Linked DNA regions of Macaca mulatta. The protein of the gene in region 2 interacts with the protein of the main gene of each other region in a biochemical or structural test. Links are inferred from orthologs where the notes say so. Each region holds a gene or a part of one and is shown on either strand. Other genes may lie near its edges.

Region 1 (6,097 bases), on a different chromosome or scaffold from region 2:
GGCTCATACCTGTAATCTCAGCACTTTGGGAGGCTGAGGCAGGAAGATCACTTGAGCCCAGGAATTCAAGACCAGTCTGGGCAACATAGTGAGACTGTCTCTACAAAAAAATTTTAAAATTAGCTGAGAATGGTGGCATGCACTGGTGGTCCCACCTACTCAGAAGGCTGAGGTGGGAGGATCACTTGAGCCCAGGATATCGAGGCCGTGGTGAGCCATGCTCGCGCCACTGTACTTCAGCCTGGGCAACAGAGCAAGACCCTTTCTTTAAAAAAAGGGTGATGGGCCCTAAGACGTTATCTATGCTTTTCCCATTCTCTCTGAACCTGACATGCTCAGGAAAGTATGTCTGTTTGGCCCTGCCATTTCTGTCCAAAACCTTCCAGAGACAAGATGGACAACTAATCCCAGCTAAAACCTTTTAAGACAACATGGTGAGAGGCCCCTTTGAAAGGCCAGAGTTGGAATGTTCCAAGCTAGCATCTATCCAGCTCCCAGTCTCTCTGGCACTATCCATGCCTAGAGGCTATGAGACAGGTTTTTTCCCAACTTTAACTTTTAAAAAAGCTTTCAAAGACCTGGCCAGCCAATCTTCCAAAAGCTCGAACCACAGCCCAGACACCTGAGGCATCCAGGTGGCATGACCACAGTCCACTACTCTGCAAGGAAAAGACTGGGCCCAAATGGTACCGGTACCTTGGTGGAAGCAGACAGAACCAGGTGGAATCCAGGCCTTTGGAGCAGAGGCCAGAGGGCCCACCACTGTCTCTGTAAATGTCAAGAAGCCAGGATATCAAGTACTCCAATGAGGCTAAGCAATGTGGGGCATGGGTGGACTGAACTAATCTCGTCACCTCTTCAAACTTCAGGTTTCTTCTTATCTGGTTTGAACAAGACCATCTGTCAGTGCCCAGCAGTGAGCCGGTAACACTAAGACTTCAAAGTCAGTTTCCCTCTGCTCCACCTCAGGCAAAGTGTCCTCCTTGCTGTCCTCAAATGTGTCAGGCCACCCTGCCTCTAACAGGGCCTTGCTATTCTTGTTGTCTGGAATGTTCTCTCTCCTGTTAACTACATAGCTCACTCCCTCATTTCCTTCAGGTCTCTGCCCAAATGACACCTTCTCAATGAGACTTCCCTGACTGCCCTACTTATAACTGAACTCAGACATCCCTTATCCCCCTTGCCTGCCTTATTTTACAGTAAGCAGCAACCATCACTGGATACACTATATCACTAACTTATTAAACTTTTTCTATTTGTTACCTGTCTGCTCCTACTAGAATGTGTGCTCCACAAGGGCAGGATATTTCTGCTCCAATGAAGATGGGTACTAGCTCTTGCTCCCCTTATCTGTGAAGTACTATAACTGCAGTAGGAAGAGCAAGTGAAGTTCAGAGAGAGTGGGAAAAGCATAGATAACGTCTTAGGGCCCATCACCCTTTAGTCCCTCCAGGAGGTTCTGAGAGTAAGCATTAGGAACAGAGCCTACACCATAGGGCAAAGGGATCTGACTACTCAGGATACCCTCTCACCAGCTCAAAACTCTCCATTGGTTTACCACTGCTTTTCCAAGGAAGATCAAACTGCCCACCAGACCACTCCAGTCAGCCCCTGCCTCCATCTCCCCAGGGGCATCTGGCCGTTGTACTCCACACTTCAGCTGCTATGGACACATTTTTTTTTTCTTTTCAGATGGAGTCTCGCTTTGTTGCCCAGGATGAAGTGCAGTGGCTCAACCTCAGCTCACTGCAACCTCTGCCTCCTGGGTTCAAGTGATTCTCCTGCCTCAGCCTCCCGAGTAACTGGGACTACAGGTGAACGCCACCATGTCTGGCTAATTTTTGCATTTTTAGTAGAGACAGGGTTTCACCACATTGGTCAGGCTGGTTTTGAACTCCTGGCCTCAAGTGATCCGCCTGCCTCGGCCTCCCAAAGTGCTGAGATTACAGGAGTGAGCTATGTCATCTGGCCTGCTATGGACTTAAAAAAATTTTTTTTTGAGACAGTGTCTTGCTCTGTTGCCCAGGATGGAGTACGGTGGCATGATCATGGCTCATACTGTATCCTCAAACTCCTGGGCTCCAGAGAGTGGACTTTCTTGAGGCCAGTGTGTACACAAGTTCCCTCCCACCAGAAGGCATTTACAATTTACACCTCAGCTATTCCTGACCAGGGCAATCTGCCATCCGTCTCTTCTTTTTTTTTTTTTTGAGATGGAGTCTGGCTTTATCACCCAGGCGGGAGTGCAGTGGCAGAGTCTTGGCTCATTGCAACCTCTGCCTCCGGGGTTCAAGCAATTCTAGTGCCTCAGTCACATGAGTAGCCAGGATTACAGGCGTGCACCACCACGCTCGGCTAATTTTTGTATTTTTAGTAGAGACGGGGTTTCACCATGTTGGCCAGGCTGGTCTCGAACTCCTGACCTCAAGTAATCCACCCACCTCAGCCTCCCTAAGTGCTGGGATTACAGGCGTGAGCTACCGTGCCCGGCCCATCCCTCTCATTCTTAACACTTATTGTAGTGCTAAGTATATAGTTGCTTTTGTGATTCTTTGATTTGTCTACCTTACTAGAGTGTAAGCTCCAGGAGAGCCGGGAGACGGTGCTCACCATCACTTCGTACTGCTCGTTTATCCATTTCACATGGTTTTTGGTGCCCATGAACCAGACACCATTCGAACACCAGGAAGCGCCCCGAGTACCGGATTAATCAACCAAGTAAGAAATGACTGTACCACGAGTTCGACTCCCAAAGCTGTTCGTCTCAGTACAGGCAATCGCTAAAGGCCTCAGTTCCAGCTCAACTAAGGGGCTGTGGGGTCCCTTCTCCAGGCGCTCCCCCGAGGGGCTGGTTGCAATCCACTCCCGAGACTCGCAGAAACCTCCTCGTCCCGGGGGGGCCGCGCTGCGCCTAGCCACGTGGCGAGAGACTTAGGAAACTTAAAACACCCGCTACCAGGAAGGGGGTGGAGGTAAGGGACGCGGGAATTACAAAGTTCGGCCCCTGCGAGCACACTTTCTGGCCCAACCCACTGCACAGATGAGGAAAGTGAGGCCCAGGGGAACTGAAGTCGCAGTGGGGAGGCAGAGATTGCGGCTCCTCTGGAACCCCTGGCCCGCGCAGTCGAGCACTGCGGGACCCGGCTCCAGGCGCCCGCCGGGTCGCCTGGGGACGGGGCGCGGGCCTCTGATCTCCACATCTTGCACGCGGCCCTCGCACACGGCCCACGAACGTTTACCTGGCCGCTCTGCTCCTTCACTTCCCGCGCCGCACGCACATAGCCAGCCCGCAGCAGATGGTGGTAGATCAGGGGAAGTAGCTCCCGCCGCTTCCTGGCCTCGGCCATGCCCGCGACCCCCGGACAGCCGGCTACCTGCACGCCCCGCCTTAGTCCCCGCCTGCCACTTCCCTCGCGCCCTAAGACCTCGCGCGCCCCACTTCCGGCTCCTCTTTGGCTCCGGCCGCGCGGCGCGCCGGGAAACGTAGTCTCCTCTCCAGGAGTGGCCGGCCCCGCCCCTCAAAGCGAAAGGGGCGGAGACTCGTGGGCAACAAGACCGCCCATTGGCGCTGAGCAGGCGGGGCTAGACAGGGACCCGCCCCCGGGCCCGGCCGTGACATGGATGACTCTTTTAATCTTTCCGGCTGGCTCCTTGAAGAGATTTGTCTTCCTTGTTAATTCTCTGATGGCTGGGTCTGCGTTTTACTCGTCTCTGAACTCCCTAATCTGGATCTTTCTCTAGATCCGAACTTCGTACTGCCATTATCTGCTCGTTTATCCATTTCACACGGTTTTTGGTGCCCATGAACCAGACACGAGTTGTCAGGTTATTCATTCATTCATTCGCTAATTAAACGAATCTGTAGTAAGCACTGTAACTTGGGCTAGCACCGGGCTAGGCTAGGGGGATTCAGAAGATGCATAATACATGGCGGTTGCCCTCAAAGCTCACAGAGACTACTGTCCGTAACCAAGCAACTATAGTTCAATATCTGGTGTGCATTGTCAGCGACAGATGCGGCCTATGGGCGCCCCAAGGAGGGGCACCAAACCCCAGAGAGATATCTAAGCTGAGGCATAAAGACACCTGAAATTGCTGGGTGCAAAGGAGAGGACTGGCAGAGGGTACTGCTTGAGTCTAGGCATGAGAAAACACCCTGCTATTGCCTGGGAACCCTAAACCCAGAACTCCCAGTCTGCGCTGCTGGGCTGTCGAGGTGGGGTGGGGTGGGGTGGGGAAGAGGGAACAAATGAGGGCCCATGAGGATGAAGAAGTAGACAAGGTCTGCCACACCACCACCCCGAACGGAGTCTGGACTTTGCTCTGAGGGCATTAGATAGTCTCTGACTGGCTTTTCAAAGGAGGTTGACCTTGTTTTGTGTTTTTAAAAGATTGCTAAAACCAAAGCACATACTATTAATACTAAATGTGAGGCTGTTGTAGTTGTTAAGGGAAGGTTGGCAGGGAAAAGGTGAGGTAGGCTGGAGAATGTTAGAGTCAGTTGTTCTTAACTTCGTGGACCCATTGAGAATCTGATGGCAGCATGTTTCTTACCAGTGCAGGAGTCCCTAACCCTAGGAGGTCCAGGTATGTGCTTATGTTTGTCTTGAACTTGAATGGAAAATGTTATGTGTCTGTACACATTCAACATTTCCGATTTTCTTGAGCAAATATTTATTGAGCACCTACCATCGGGGATGGAATAGTCTCTACTCCTATAGAGCTTACAGTCTAATGGAGGAGACTAATAGTCATACAATACAGTGTTACAAACAGCGGGTAGGTGCCGGAAGGAAAAAGATAGTGTTTTCTTATGTAATAATATAGTGTTTAAAAGCTGCACTGGAGTCACACTGCCTGGGTTCAAATTCTGGCTTTGCCTCATTAGGTGACTTTGGGCAAGTTACATAACTTCGCTGTGACTCAGTTTCTTTATCTGTACAATGGAGATAATTATAATTTCTACCTCATTGGGTTGTCATAAGGAGTAAATGAATTCTCAGCAGAAATGCTTGGAGGAGCTCTGAACAATAGCACTCTGTGTGTGCGTGTGTGCTATTATTGTGAAAGCATATAACAGGAAGGAAGGATCTATTTTTTTCTTGGGAGTTAGGGAAGGATTCCCTGAGAAATTGATGGTTATGAGGAAACCAGAACTATGTGTAAGGGAGAGTCGGGGAGAAGAAACCTGAGCAGAGGGAAGAACCTGTGCAAAGGGCCTAGGGCAGAAGGTACAGCTGAGAGAATAGACAAGAAAAGGCCTTTGTAGCATGGCCCAGAGGGAGAGCAGGGGAACTGGGGAGTGTAGAAGGTGGGCAGAGGGCAGACTCCATGTGAAGGACTGGGCACATCAGGTTTTTTTTCTCCATCCTAAGAGCCATTGGAAGCCACTGACGGTGTAAGCCCAAGAGGTACAGGATGAAATCTGAATTTTACTGTGACCTGTGTGCCTGCCCAGTGGAGAGTGGAGTGTGTCTGGTGGGTATGAGTAGATGTGGGAAGACAAGCCAGGGTTAGGAGTGCAGGCAGGCATCCAGGGAGAAGACAGTATGTGTGTCGGGGGCGGGGGAGGGGGTGAAGTGGTAGGGGAGGGGGTGGGGGGGCAGGGTGGGGGGGTGCTGGTGGCAGTGGAGTTGGAGAGCAGTGGAAGGTTCCCAGAGTTAATCAGGAACTAAAGTTGTCACAGAGGTGTGTTGGAATGTGAGGGGAAGGAAGAGGCAATGTCAGAATGGACCTTGAGGTTTCTGTGCAAACAAGTAGGCAGTATCTTTCACTGAGATAGAAAAAACTGGAAGAGGATTGAGACGGGGGTGGTTTGATTGAGGAGAGGAGGATGTGGACAGAGAGGTGAAAGTATATATTCTACATTAGACATCTTGAGCTTGAAATGCCTTACAGTCACCATGTGCAGATGTTGAGAAGGTTCTTGGAAACCTGGGTTTGGACGTGGCGTGGAGGTCTGGGCTAGAGATGAAGATGAGAAGTTGTCGATAGAGAGATGATAACTGCGGCTGTGGATGAGGAGAAGCTTGCCCAGGGCGAAGAATGTGGAGAGAGAAGAGAGATGGCCCAGGACGAATGTTTGAGGTACATCTAC
Region 2 (5,381 bases):
GAGGCTCCGTGAGATTACGTTTTAATAACCTGCCTAAATCATCTATCCAACAAGTAAATGGCAGAGGCTACATTTGATTCCAGAGCCAGGCTTCTTGGTCGCCATATGACTCTTAAGGAACAAGAGTGGGTACACTAGGTCCTTTTTAAAGTTTCCTTTAAAACATTTTTATTGTATATTGCATTTGAATAGTAAAAAAAAGCCAACAAAACAAAACAAAAAATACAAAGTAAAAATGTCTGTATCTTACTGAAATTTAATAATCTGGATTCTATCATTTAAATGTCATACTTATGTATGCTTACTAAGTGTTATACTTAATGTATGTATGACATTAAAATGATAGAATACTTATTAAGTATAATACTTAGTAAGCATACATAAGTATGACATATGTATACATACTAAGTATACTTATTAAGCACTGTACTTAATAAGTATACTTAGTAAGTTTACATAAGTATGACATTTTCACTTTGAAGTTTCATTTTTCATTTTTGAAGACCTAGAAAAAAATTTTACTTTAAAAGAGGTATGCTATGATAGATTCCTGATTTTCTTGATTCCTTAACATCTTAAATTCTTTAATTTTATTAAGTTAATTTTAAAAAAGAGTAAAAAATACTTGAGAAATTTTCTGCGGTACGATATGTGCATTGAAATAAAGATATTTGGCTGGAAAACTCATGGATTATAATTTGATCTCTTGCTAGAGGTTTTTGTACCGAAGTTTCTTGGTACCAGCGCTGCTTCCTGTGTGGGATGTAGAAAGTCATACTTAATGTTTCTATGTCTTGCATCACTAGTGGAAGAATTAGAATAGCTGGAAATCTGGAATGGCTGTTTCATGATACCAGTAACTCATCAAAACTGAAATTTGTATGATCATTAGAAATTTTTTGCTACTCTGGATTTTGTGTAAGGAAGTGCCCTGGCTTCATTTATGTTGAGTTTACATGAAGAACTTACTCTAGAGGAGAGGAAAACTCATGAAGTGTCAGACCACTCCTGTGTGTAAGACGAGCCTATTCAAGTCAACAGTAGTTCCCATGATAAAGGGATATGTGGTATATCCTCCTTTGGGAGTTCATCTCTCCCTAACACAGGGCTTTATTTTTCTTTTTAATTGGTAGCTGTATAGGTGAGTCTTGCAGCACCTGAATTGAAAACCAGCACATACATAGGAACATCTAGTTTTTAGTCATCAAAAAAGCCTGTGTCATACTAAATTAAAAGGTACATTGTAGAAGTAAAACCAGGACTCGAAGATGATTAACCTGGGCAGCAAGTTGAATCCTTGTACCTCCAGTGTTTCTCATACTGCATTTTAAAATAAATTCCGTGAATTTGAGACATATTTTTTAAGTGACTGGAAATCTTTGCAATTCATTTTTTATAACATCACAAAAATTAAATACGATGGGTCTGGATCATCTAGAATGAAACTTTAAAGGAGGGAAAATAAAGGCAAATGATGTTTGCAAGTGACTAATACTTAAAGAGCCAGGCTGTGTAATGTTTCAGTCAAGAAAATCCCATAAATGCAATAATATTTTAATAATAGAAAAAACCAACTTGGTCTCAAAGGTAAAAGTTTGGGGTTTTAAAAACCATTATCTTCAAATAATCGGTTAACTATTAAACTCTGTTTAAAAGAGGCATTATATATTGACTCTACCATAATCTTTATTTATGTCTAGATTTAGATAGGTAAAATACGGTATCTTTGAGAAAATGAAGTATTTCCTTTTAAGCAAATGTTCTCAAAATTTCCAAGGGTAAGTGAAGTGGTTATTATATTACTTATAATGGTTAAGGAAGCATTCAAAAGATAACAGTTTTAAAAAAGAGTAGGTGGAGAATATGTACTTTTAAAGAACTTCTTGCTTTTTTAAGAGGAACATTTTAAAGATATATTTTGGATACAAGTTGCCTTGTAATTTTCACCAGGACACGAAAAGTTTTATTAGGTTGTTTCTTTGTATACTAATGTATCATGATGATACCTTTATAGGTTTTTTTTTTTTTTTGAGATGGAGTCTCATTCTGTCTTCCAGGCTGGCACTCAGCTCACCGCAACCTCCGCCTGCCTCCTGAGTAGCTGGGATTACAGTGTGTGCCACCACGCCCGGCTAATTTTTTAGTTTAGTAGAGATGGGGTTTCATCACCTTGGCCGGGCAGGTTTTGAACTCCTGACCTCTTGTGATCCACCCACCTGGGCCCCCTGAAGTACTGGGATTACAGGCGTGAGCCACCATACCGGGCCAGTATTCTTAAGCTTTCTGACTGGCATGGCACAATTTAAGATCTGATGTCCCTAAGGCAACTCTGGATAGGGGCTTCTAGGAAAATAAAGTGACCTGGAATATGTGTGTCACCTTTTGATTTGCATTTACTTAGGTGACTCTCCTTTTTTCATAGTTGGCACAAAGCGGGCTAGCCCTGAGAGTACGGGTTTTGAGGTTAGCCAGACTAAATCTTTCTGATACATTATCAATTTTTACTCCTATTCAGAATATCAGGGACTATTTTAGGAAATATTCAGTTTCAAAAGGTTATCTTTGTGGTAACTTTGTACTTTTAAAATCTTGCCACAATAATTTTGATTTATAGCACACATGTAATATTAACCACTCTTTCCTTCTTAGATCCATGTTCACTAGCGGCCTTACAGAAAGTACTCAAAAAGAAGTTCGAATAGTCGGTGTTGAAGCTGAATCGATGGATTTAGTGTTGAACTATGCCTATACCTCCAGAGTTATTCTCACAGAGGCCAATGTTCAAGCCTTGTTCACTGCAGCTAGCATCTTCCAGATTCCTTCCATCCAAGACCAATGTGCTCAGTATATGATCAGTCATTTGGACCCACAGAATTCTATTGGGGTCTTTATCTTTGCTGATCATTATGGTCATCAGGAACTCGGAGATCGATCAAAAGAATACATCCGTAAAAAGTTTCTGTGTGTCACCAAAGAACAAGAGTTTCTCCAGTTGACAAAAGACCAGCTGATAAGTATATTAGACAGTGATGATTTAAATGTAGACCGAGAAGAGCATGTTTATGAAAGCATTATAAGGTGGTTTGAACATGAACAAAATGAACGAGAAGTGCACCTTCCAGAAATTTTTGCTAAATGCATACGTTTTCCTCTGATGGAAGATACCTTCATAGAGAAAATTCCACCTCAGTTTGCACAGGCTGTAGCCAAAAGCTGTGTAGAAAAGGGACCATCCAACACCAATGGTTGTACACAGAGGCTTGGAATGACTGCTTCTGAAATGATCATATGTTTTGATGCTGCCCACAAACACTCAGGAAAGAAGCAAACAGTGCCTTGTCTAGATATAGTCACAGGAAAGGTGTTTAAACTATGCAAACCACCAAATGACCTGAGAGAAGTTGGGATTCTTGTATCACCAGATAATGACATTTACATTGCAGGAGGGTACAGGCCAAGCAGCAGTGAGGTCTCCATCGACCATAAGGCAGAAAATGATTTCTGGATGTATGATCATTCCACCAATAGATGGCTATCCAAACCATCCTTGCTTCGAGCTAGAATAGGCTGCAAACTTGTCTACTGCTGTGGTAAAATGTATGCAATCGGAGGTCGTGTTTATGAAGGTGATGGGAGAAACTCACTAAAATCTGTTGAGTGCTACGACAGTAGAGAGAATTGCTGGACGACTGTTTGCGCAATGCCAGTTGCAATGGAATTTCATAATGCTGTGGAGTACAAAGAGAAGATCTATGTTTTACAGGGTAGGTGCCTGAGTGATTCAGTTTTTCATGGAAGGGTAACACATCAAGCGGTGGTTTACTTAATTATACTGAAACAGTTGTGTTCCTGTTAATTGAGGAATACCTCCAGCTTCCTTATCAAACTATTGGAACAGTCTGTTCTGTAAAGAGCTATAAAGAAAATAAACTCTTGAATTTAAAAAAGGCAGGTATTGTTAAGTTACTAAAATAATCCTATACTTTTTAATGATTTTGTGTCTTGATATCATGTAGAATAACTATTTTTGAAAACATTCTTTAATAAATAGTAGTTCGGCAGTTTGGGATAACTATTTCAGAGTACTTTGTAGGACTTGAAATAAATAGCAAGGTTGTTACATGGCTGTTTTTGCTCTTGAGTTACATTGAGATGTAGCAACTGGTGTTGATGGAATTTACTGGATTAGTTTGAAAGAGAAAAAGGAACAAAGCATTAATTAAGTTATACTATTTAGTTACCAAAGAGTTTTATATAAGCCTTATTATTGCAAAAGTTATGAAACTTAATTACAAAGAGTTTGGAAGTATAGTCTTTAAGTTTCACCTTCACTGCTGTTTATGTTGCCTTTCATAATACATTTTCAATTGTTTTCACCGGAAAACTTTGAGATGTCACTTTTTTTTGGTTTGCCATTTTAAGTGGGACTGTCTGATATATGTAGTGTTTTTTGTTTGTTTGTTTGTTTTTTTAACTGTTAAGGACTACTTTGACAAAAATACAGTAGAGGTAGAGTGACTGAGTCAGAGTAAATAAGACATTTGATTCAAGGCTCTGATTTGTGATAACTAGTATTTTCCTTTTATTTGGTTTCTTACATATTTTAGTTGCTTGAATGTTTAATGCAGTGTAGATAATAGCAACATCCTTATTCTTCATATGTGTCCTTCAATTGATGTTTTTCTCACACTACTACTTAAGGAAAAGGAGCAGCTTCTATGAGGATATACAGTCATGTGCCATGTAATGTTTTGGTCTGTGATGGATCACATACACAATGGTGGTCCTATAAGATTATGATAGCATAATTTTACTGTACTTGTTCCATGTTTAGATACGTTTAGATACAAAAAATGCTTCCCATTGTGTTATAGTTGCCTAGAGTACTCAGTACAGTCACATGCTGTACAGTTTTGTAGCCTAGGAGCAATAGGCTACAGTGTAGCCTAGGTGTGTGGTAAGCTCCCATCTAGGTTTGTGTAAGTATGCTCTATGAAGTTCTTTGCACAAGGACAAGTATCACTTAACCATGCATTTCTCAGAATATGTCCCTGTCATTAATTGATGCATGACTGCCCTTATCCCATTGTTTTCTTTCTTTCTTCTTTCCCCTTCCCCTTCCCTTCTTTTCTTTCATTTCTTTCTTTCTGTTTTGTTTTGAGACAGGGTCTCACTCTGACACCCAGGCTGGTGTGCAGTGGCATGATCTTGGCTGACTGCAACTTCCGCCTCCTGGGTTCACATGATTCTCCCACCTCAGTCTCAGGCACCCGCCACCATGCCTGGCTAATTTTTGAGTTTTTGGTAGAGACGGGGTTTCACTATGTTGACCAGGCTGGTCTTGAACTCCTGACCTCCAGTGATCCACCCACCTTGGCCTC
Region 3 (6,029 bases), on a different chromosome or scaffold from region 2:
CTGGGCGACACAGCAAGTCTCAAAAAAAAAAAAAAAAAAAGAACTGCATTTAGGCTGGGCGCAGTGGTTCACACCTGTAATCTAATACTTTGGCAGGCCGAGGCAGGAAGATCACTTAAAGACAGGAGTTCAAGACCACTGGGCAAAACAGTGAGACCTCCATCTCTCTCTCTTTTTTTTTTTTTGAGACTGAGTTTCGCTCTTGGTCGCCCAAGCTGGAGTGCAATGGCACTGCCATGGCTCGGCCTGTGGTGGCTAAACGCCTGTAATCTCAACACTTTGTGAGGCTGAGGCGGGTGGATCACCTGAGATCGGGAGTTGGAGACCAGCCTAACCAACATGGAGAAACCCCGTCTCTACTAAAAATACAAAATTAGCCAAGCGTGGTGGCACATGCTTGTAATAATCCCAGCTACTTGGGAGGCCAATGCAGGAGAATCGCTTGAACCTGGGAGGTGGAGGTTATGGTGAGTTGAGATTGCACCATTGCACTCCAGCCTGGGCAACAAGAGCGAAACTCTGTCTCAAAAAAAAAAAAAAAAAAAAAAAAAAATTAGCCAGCTGTGGTGGCACATGTCTGTAGTCCTAGCTACTCCAGTGACTGAGGCAGGAGGATTGCCTGAGCCCAGGGGTTCAAGGCTACAGTGAGCTATCACTGCATCACTGTACTCCAGCCTGGGCAACAGAGTGAGACCCTCTAAAAGAAACACACACACACAAAACAATACACATAAGAGTATAGGATCAGGCCAGGCGCAGTGGCTCACGCCTGTAATCCCAACACTTTGGGAGGCCAAGATGGGCAGATCACCTGATCAGGAATTTGAGACCAGCCTGGCCAGTATGGTGAAACCCCATCTCTACTAATGATACAAACATTAGCTGGGCGTGGTGGTGGGCGCCTGTAATCCCAGCTATCCAGGAGGCTGAGGCATAAGAATCACTTGAACCTGAGAGGCGAAGGTTGGGGTGAGCTGAGATTGCACCACTGCACTGCCACCTGGGCAACAGAGTGAGACTCTGGGGTACAAAAAAGAGTAAAGGACCAGAGTCAGGACACATGGGAACTCACCTTTGGACAAATTACTTAGTCTCCCTGAGATTATTTTATTCTCTATAAAATGGAGATAATACTACACATCTCATTAAGTTATTGAGAGGATAAGACATAATGCATGTTGGCCGTGTGCAGTGGCTCACACCTATAATCCCAGCACTTTGGGAGGCCCAGGTGGTGGATTTCTTGAGGTCAGGAGTTCAAAAGCAGCCTGGCCAACATGGTGAAACCCCGTCTCTATTAAAAATACAAAAAAAAAAAAAAAAATTAGCTGGGCTTGGTGGGGCACACCTGTAGGCCCAGCTACTTGGGAAGCTGAGGCAGGAGAATCACTTCAGCAGAGGTTGCAGCGAGCTGAGATCATGCCACTGCACTCCAGCATGGCGACAGAGCCAGACTCCGCCTCAAAAAAAAAAAAAAAAAAAAAAAAAAAATTAAATGCATGTAAAGGGCTTAGCTCCTGACCCTTAGTAAACTCTTCACAAAGATTAGCTTTTCTCACATAAAACCATTTCAGAATCCTAATTCTGAGGCCAGGCACGGTGTCTCACGCCTGTAATCCCAGCACTTTGGGAGGCCGAGGCGGGCGAATTTCTTGAGGTCAAGAGTTCAAGACCAGCCTGGTCAACATGGTGAAACCCTGTCTCTAGTAAAAATAAAAAAATTAGCCGGGCGTGGCAGTGCGCGCCTATAATCCCAGCTACTCGGGAGGCTGAGGCAGGAGAATCTCTTGAATTTAGGAGGCGGAGGTTACAATGAGCCGAGATCGCACCATTGCACTCCAGCCTGGGCAACTGCACTCCAGACTGGGCAAGAGACTCCGTCTCAAAAAAAAAACAAAAAAAAAGAATCCTAATTCTGAAATGTCCAATTCCATTCAGTCCACTGTGAAAGTCCTCTCTGCAGTCTCCTTAACAGTCAACTCTAAACAGTTTCATTAAGAAAGCAGTTAGATCACATGGCAGCATGTCCCAGCTTAAGGAAGTTCTGAAGCTGATCTGATTCTTTTGCTTTTGCAGCCTGATTCTGCTAAAAGTGCAAGCCGGCCGGGCGCGGTGGCTCCAGCCTGTAATCCCAGCACTTTGGGAGGCCGAGACGGGCGGATCACGAGGTCAGGAGATCGAGACCATCTTGGCTGACACGGTGAAACCCCGTCTCTACTTTAAAAAATACAAAAAACTAGCCGGGCGAGGTGGCGGCACCTGTAGTCCCAGCTACTCGGGAGGCTGAGGCAGGAGAATGGCGTGAACCCGGGAGGCGGAGCTTGCAGTGAGCTGAGATCCGGCCACTGCACTCCAGGCGGCAGAGCGAGCGAGACTCGTCTCAAAAAAAAAAAAAAAAAAAAGTGCAAGCCATCCTTTCTAGTCATGCTATCATCCCTGCAGAAGACCTCCTCTCTCTCCTCCCTCAAGGTCTCTTCCCATGCAGGGATGTCTGTTGATGTGAAAGATTACAAACCTTTCCCATTCCTGGTTCTCTTACTCTCACATGTGTTTGGAGCATCCTAAATTGCCATCATTATGGTACAGCTTTAACTTCTACAAGATTCCTCTGCACCAGCACTGAGATTGCTACTCTTACACATCATCTTACTGAAATTCACAAAAATCCTATAAAGTGGATGATGACATCCCTGTAGAAAGACTCAGAGAGGTTAAATAAACTGCCCGGGTCACGTATCTAAAAAGTGACAGAGCCTGGTCCCAAACCTAGGTTTGTTTGATTGCATTAGCCAAAGCTCCAAGCCCACTACTATGCCTGCTTGGTAGGGCTGTTTATGATGCTCAATTCTCATTAGTGTAACTCAAAACAAAACTCTGCTTCTACTTTCATTCATTTTCTTCTTTACTAACGACAATCCCGGCCTTCATTCTAAAGCAATTTCACTTGCTTTTGAAGCCCAGTAAATGTAACTGAGGGTAAGGTCAAATCGCGGTTTGCCTCATCCAACGAAAAGCACCCCAGAAGAAACAGATGCCGAAGAACCAACGTCCTCAGTGGGACAAGGCTCTAGCTCCCCGCTGCACTCTGCCAGCCATGTGACTTCGGGCCACGAGGCTCCCACGCTGCCGCCACTGCACGGCTCCACAAGAAAAAAAACAACAAGACTCAGCGATATCTAGTCAGAACTGCGGGAAGAGGAGCGACCGAGGCCGCAGGCTTTCTCTGACCACTGCCCAGGGGTCGGCGTAAAGGCCTTGCAGACACTGAACTGGCGGACCCCACAGACTTCCCCACCTGGAAACCTAAGCACGTCAGGGCCTGAAGCTTTGTGGTCATCTCAGCCCGGTCCCCACGCCAAGCCCGGAACTCACAGCTCCTGTCGCTTTGGCGAACTTATTGGCCACCTCCGAGAGTTGGTTATCGCGGAGGAAGCCGAGCACGAGGGGATACAGGTCGCTAGGAACCACGCGGCGCAAGCCGGCGTCCGCCATCCTCCGGGCAATACGCGTCACTACCGTTGTCGACGCAGCACGACTCAGGAACCCAACAGGGGCAGTGGGCGGGCCCGTGTACGTCATTGCGCCGCGCGGGCGCATAGCGGAAAGGGCGGGGCTCCACAGGACAGTCCCACCTCCACCTCAGAGGTAGGGTAGACGGGAAATCTATAAACTCTTTCCGGTCCCACGTGTATCGCCATCTTGGTTAAGGGCGGAGCCCACTGGCCGCCAGTTTGTGGAGGTGGAGCTCTGACGTCAAGGGTCACGCCCTCGGCGTGGCGGGAAACTCGGGACTTCCCGCGCTGTCTTTCTGGGGGAGGTACCTTTTCTCAGAGCAGCGGTTTCCCGCGCCCCTGCTGGGATTCGGATTCCAGAGTAATGAGTGGACAAGCGGGCTCGAACAGTCCCGTTCTAGACTTGGTCTACAAGATCTCCCAACCGCCCCCACTGGCGCACTGGCGCGGCCAATGGATTCTCGCCCTTCATCTTCATTGCCTCCAACACCCAGGGAGGCCCTTTCTGATACTATCCCAGCCTCCAGACTCCTGCCTCTGCTGCAGAGGCTCCTTCAAGTTATCCGTCGTGAGGGTGGGAGGTGTTGTTCAGAGGATCCTTCAAGTTATCAGTCGTCCAGAGGATCCTTCAAGTTATCAGTCGTGAGGGTGGCAGGTGTTGATTTCCAAGCCGCCCCTCCCATTCCCCTTATATTCCGCCTTAGGTCAGCTCCATGAAGAGGAAAGATGTCTTGCACTAAACCTGAATAGCCCTTCTTTCTCCAGGGTCAGAGTTGCTCCCTTTGTCATGAGTAACTCCAATATCAATGCTCACATCTACCAAGTTAATTCCAAGTTCTGCCACATTTCAGATCATATTAGCAGTTAGCAATCGCTTCGATCCTACCCACTACCCCTTGGCTACCTCCCACTAATGCCGCTCAAGAAGGATAAGGATTCTCATGGAACACACCTCTCCTTTGCCTTTCTCCAGACACTCCCCTCTCCTGTATAAAACTGGCCAGGCACAGTGGCTCACACCTGTTATCTCAACACTTTGGAAGGCCAAGATGGGAGGATCCCTTAAGCCCAGGAGTTAGAGGTCAGCCTGGACAACATAGTGAAACCCCCCTCTCTCTACAAATTTTAAAGATTAGCCAGGTGTAGTGGCACGCACCTGTGTCCCAGCTACTTGGGAGGCTGGGGCGGGAGGATCGACTGAGCCAGGGAGGTCAAAGCTGCAATGAGCTATGATCCTGCCACTGCAACCCAGCCTGGGCCACAGAGTGAGATCCTATCTCAAAAATCAAAAACAAAGCCAGGCATGGTGGTTCACGCCTGTAATCTCAGCACTTTGGGAGGCCAAGGTGGGTGGATCACCTGAGGTCAGGAGTTCAAGAACAGCTCTGGCCAACACGGTGAAACCCTTTCTCTACTAAAAATACAAAAAAATTAGCCAGGCATGGTGACAGGTGCCTGTAGTCCCAGCTACTCAGGAAGCTGAGGCAGGAGAATCATTTGAACCCACAAGGTAGAGGTTGCAGTGAGCCAAAATTGTGCCACTGCACTCCAGCCTGGGAGACAGAACAAGACTCCATTCCAGAAACAAAAAAAAAGGCAAAAAAAAAAAAAAAACAACCTCCACAGTTCCCTCTTCCCCATGCTTCCTATTCTACCCACATGCATACATTATTATTATTTCTTTTTTTTTGAGACAGACTCTCGCTCTGTCACCCAGGCTGGAGTGCAGCGGCACAATCTGGGCTCACTGCAAGCTCCGCCTCCTGGGTTCATGCCATTCTCTTGCCTCAGCCTCCCAAGTAGCTAGGACTACAGGCAACCGCCACCACACCTGGCCAATTTTTTTTTTTTTTTTTTTTTTTTTTTTGAGATGGAGTCTCACGCTGTTGCCCAGGCTGGAGTGCAGTGGCGCGATCTCGGCTCACTGCAAGCTCCGCCTCCCGGGTTCCCGCCATTCTCCTGCCTCAGCCTCCTGAGTAGCTGGGACTACAGGCACCTGTCACCATGCCTGGCTAATTTTTTTGTATTTTTAGTAGAGACGGGGTTTCACTGTGGTCTCGATCTCCTGACCTTGTGATCCGCCCGCCTCGGCCTCCCAAAGTGCTGGGATTACAGGCGTGAGCCACCGCGCCCGGCCTTTTTTTTTTTTTTTTGATACGGAGTCTCACTCTGTCGCCCAGGCCGGAGTGCAGTGGCCAGATCTCAGCTCACTGCAAGCTCCGCCTCCCGGGTTTACGCCATTCTCCCGCCTCAGCCTCCCGAGTAGCTGGGACTACAGGCGCCCACCACCTCGCCCGACTAGTTTTTTTTTTGTGTGTGTGTTTTTAGTAGAGATGGGGTTTCACCGTGTTAGCCAGGATGGTCTCCATCTCCTGACCTCGTGATCCGCCCGCCTCGGCCTCCCAAAGTGCTGGGATTACAGGCTTGAGCTACCGCGCCCGGCCCAATATTTTGTACTTTCAGTAGAGACACGGTTTCACCATGTTGGCCAGGATGGTCTCCATCTCCTGACCTCGT

Evidence for each region.
Region 1: the proteins of KBTBD8 (region 2) and TCOF1 form a complex in vitro, tested with the Homo sapiens proteins (2 studies listed by BioGRID, with this or other methods). The link is inferred for Macaca mulatta from reciprocal best matches to the Homo sapiens genes KBTBD8 and TCOF1.
Region 3: the proteins of KBTBD8 (region 2) and NOLC1 form a complex in vitro, tested with the Homo sapiens proteins (2 studies listed by BioGRID). The link is inferred for Macaca mulatta from reciprocal best matches to the Homo sapiens genes KBTBD8 and NOLC1.

Annotation. Positions count from the first base shown.
Region 1 is NC_133411.1:159,323,550-159,329,646, reverse strand, and holds the start of TCOF1 (treacle protein), read right to left. Parts: upstream 3,515-6,097; 5' UTR 3,348-3,514; coding exon 3,240-3,347; intron 1-3,239.
Region 2 is NC_133407.1:130,548,551-130,553,931, forward strand, and holds part of KBTBD8 (kelch repeat and BTB domain-containing protein 8), read left to right. Parts: intron 1-2,649; coding exon 2,650-3,764; intron 3,765-5,381. UniProt on the Homo sapiens protein: Substrate-specific adapter of a BCR (BTB-CUL3-RBX1) E3 ubiquitin ligase complex that acts as a regulator of neural crest specification.
Region 3 is NC_133414.1:114,258,551-114,264,579, reverse strand, and holds the start of NOLC1 (nucleolar and coiled-body phosphoprotein 1), read right to left. Parts: upstream 3,515-6,029; 5' UTR 3,493-3,514; coding exon 3,373-3,492; exon of another isoform or gene 3,338-3,372; coding exon of another isoform or gene 3,296-3,337; intron 1-3,295. UniProt on the Homo sapiens protein: Nucleolar protein that acts as a regulator of RNA polymerase I by connecting RNA polymerase I with enzymes responsible for ribosomal processing and modification.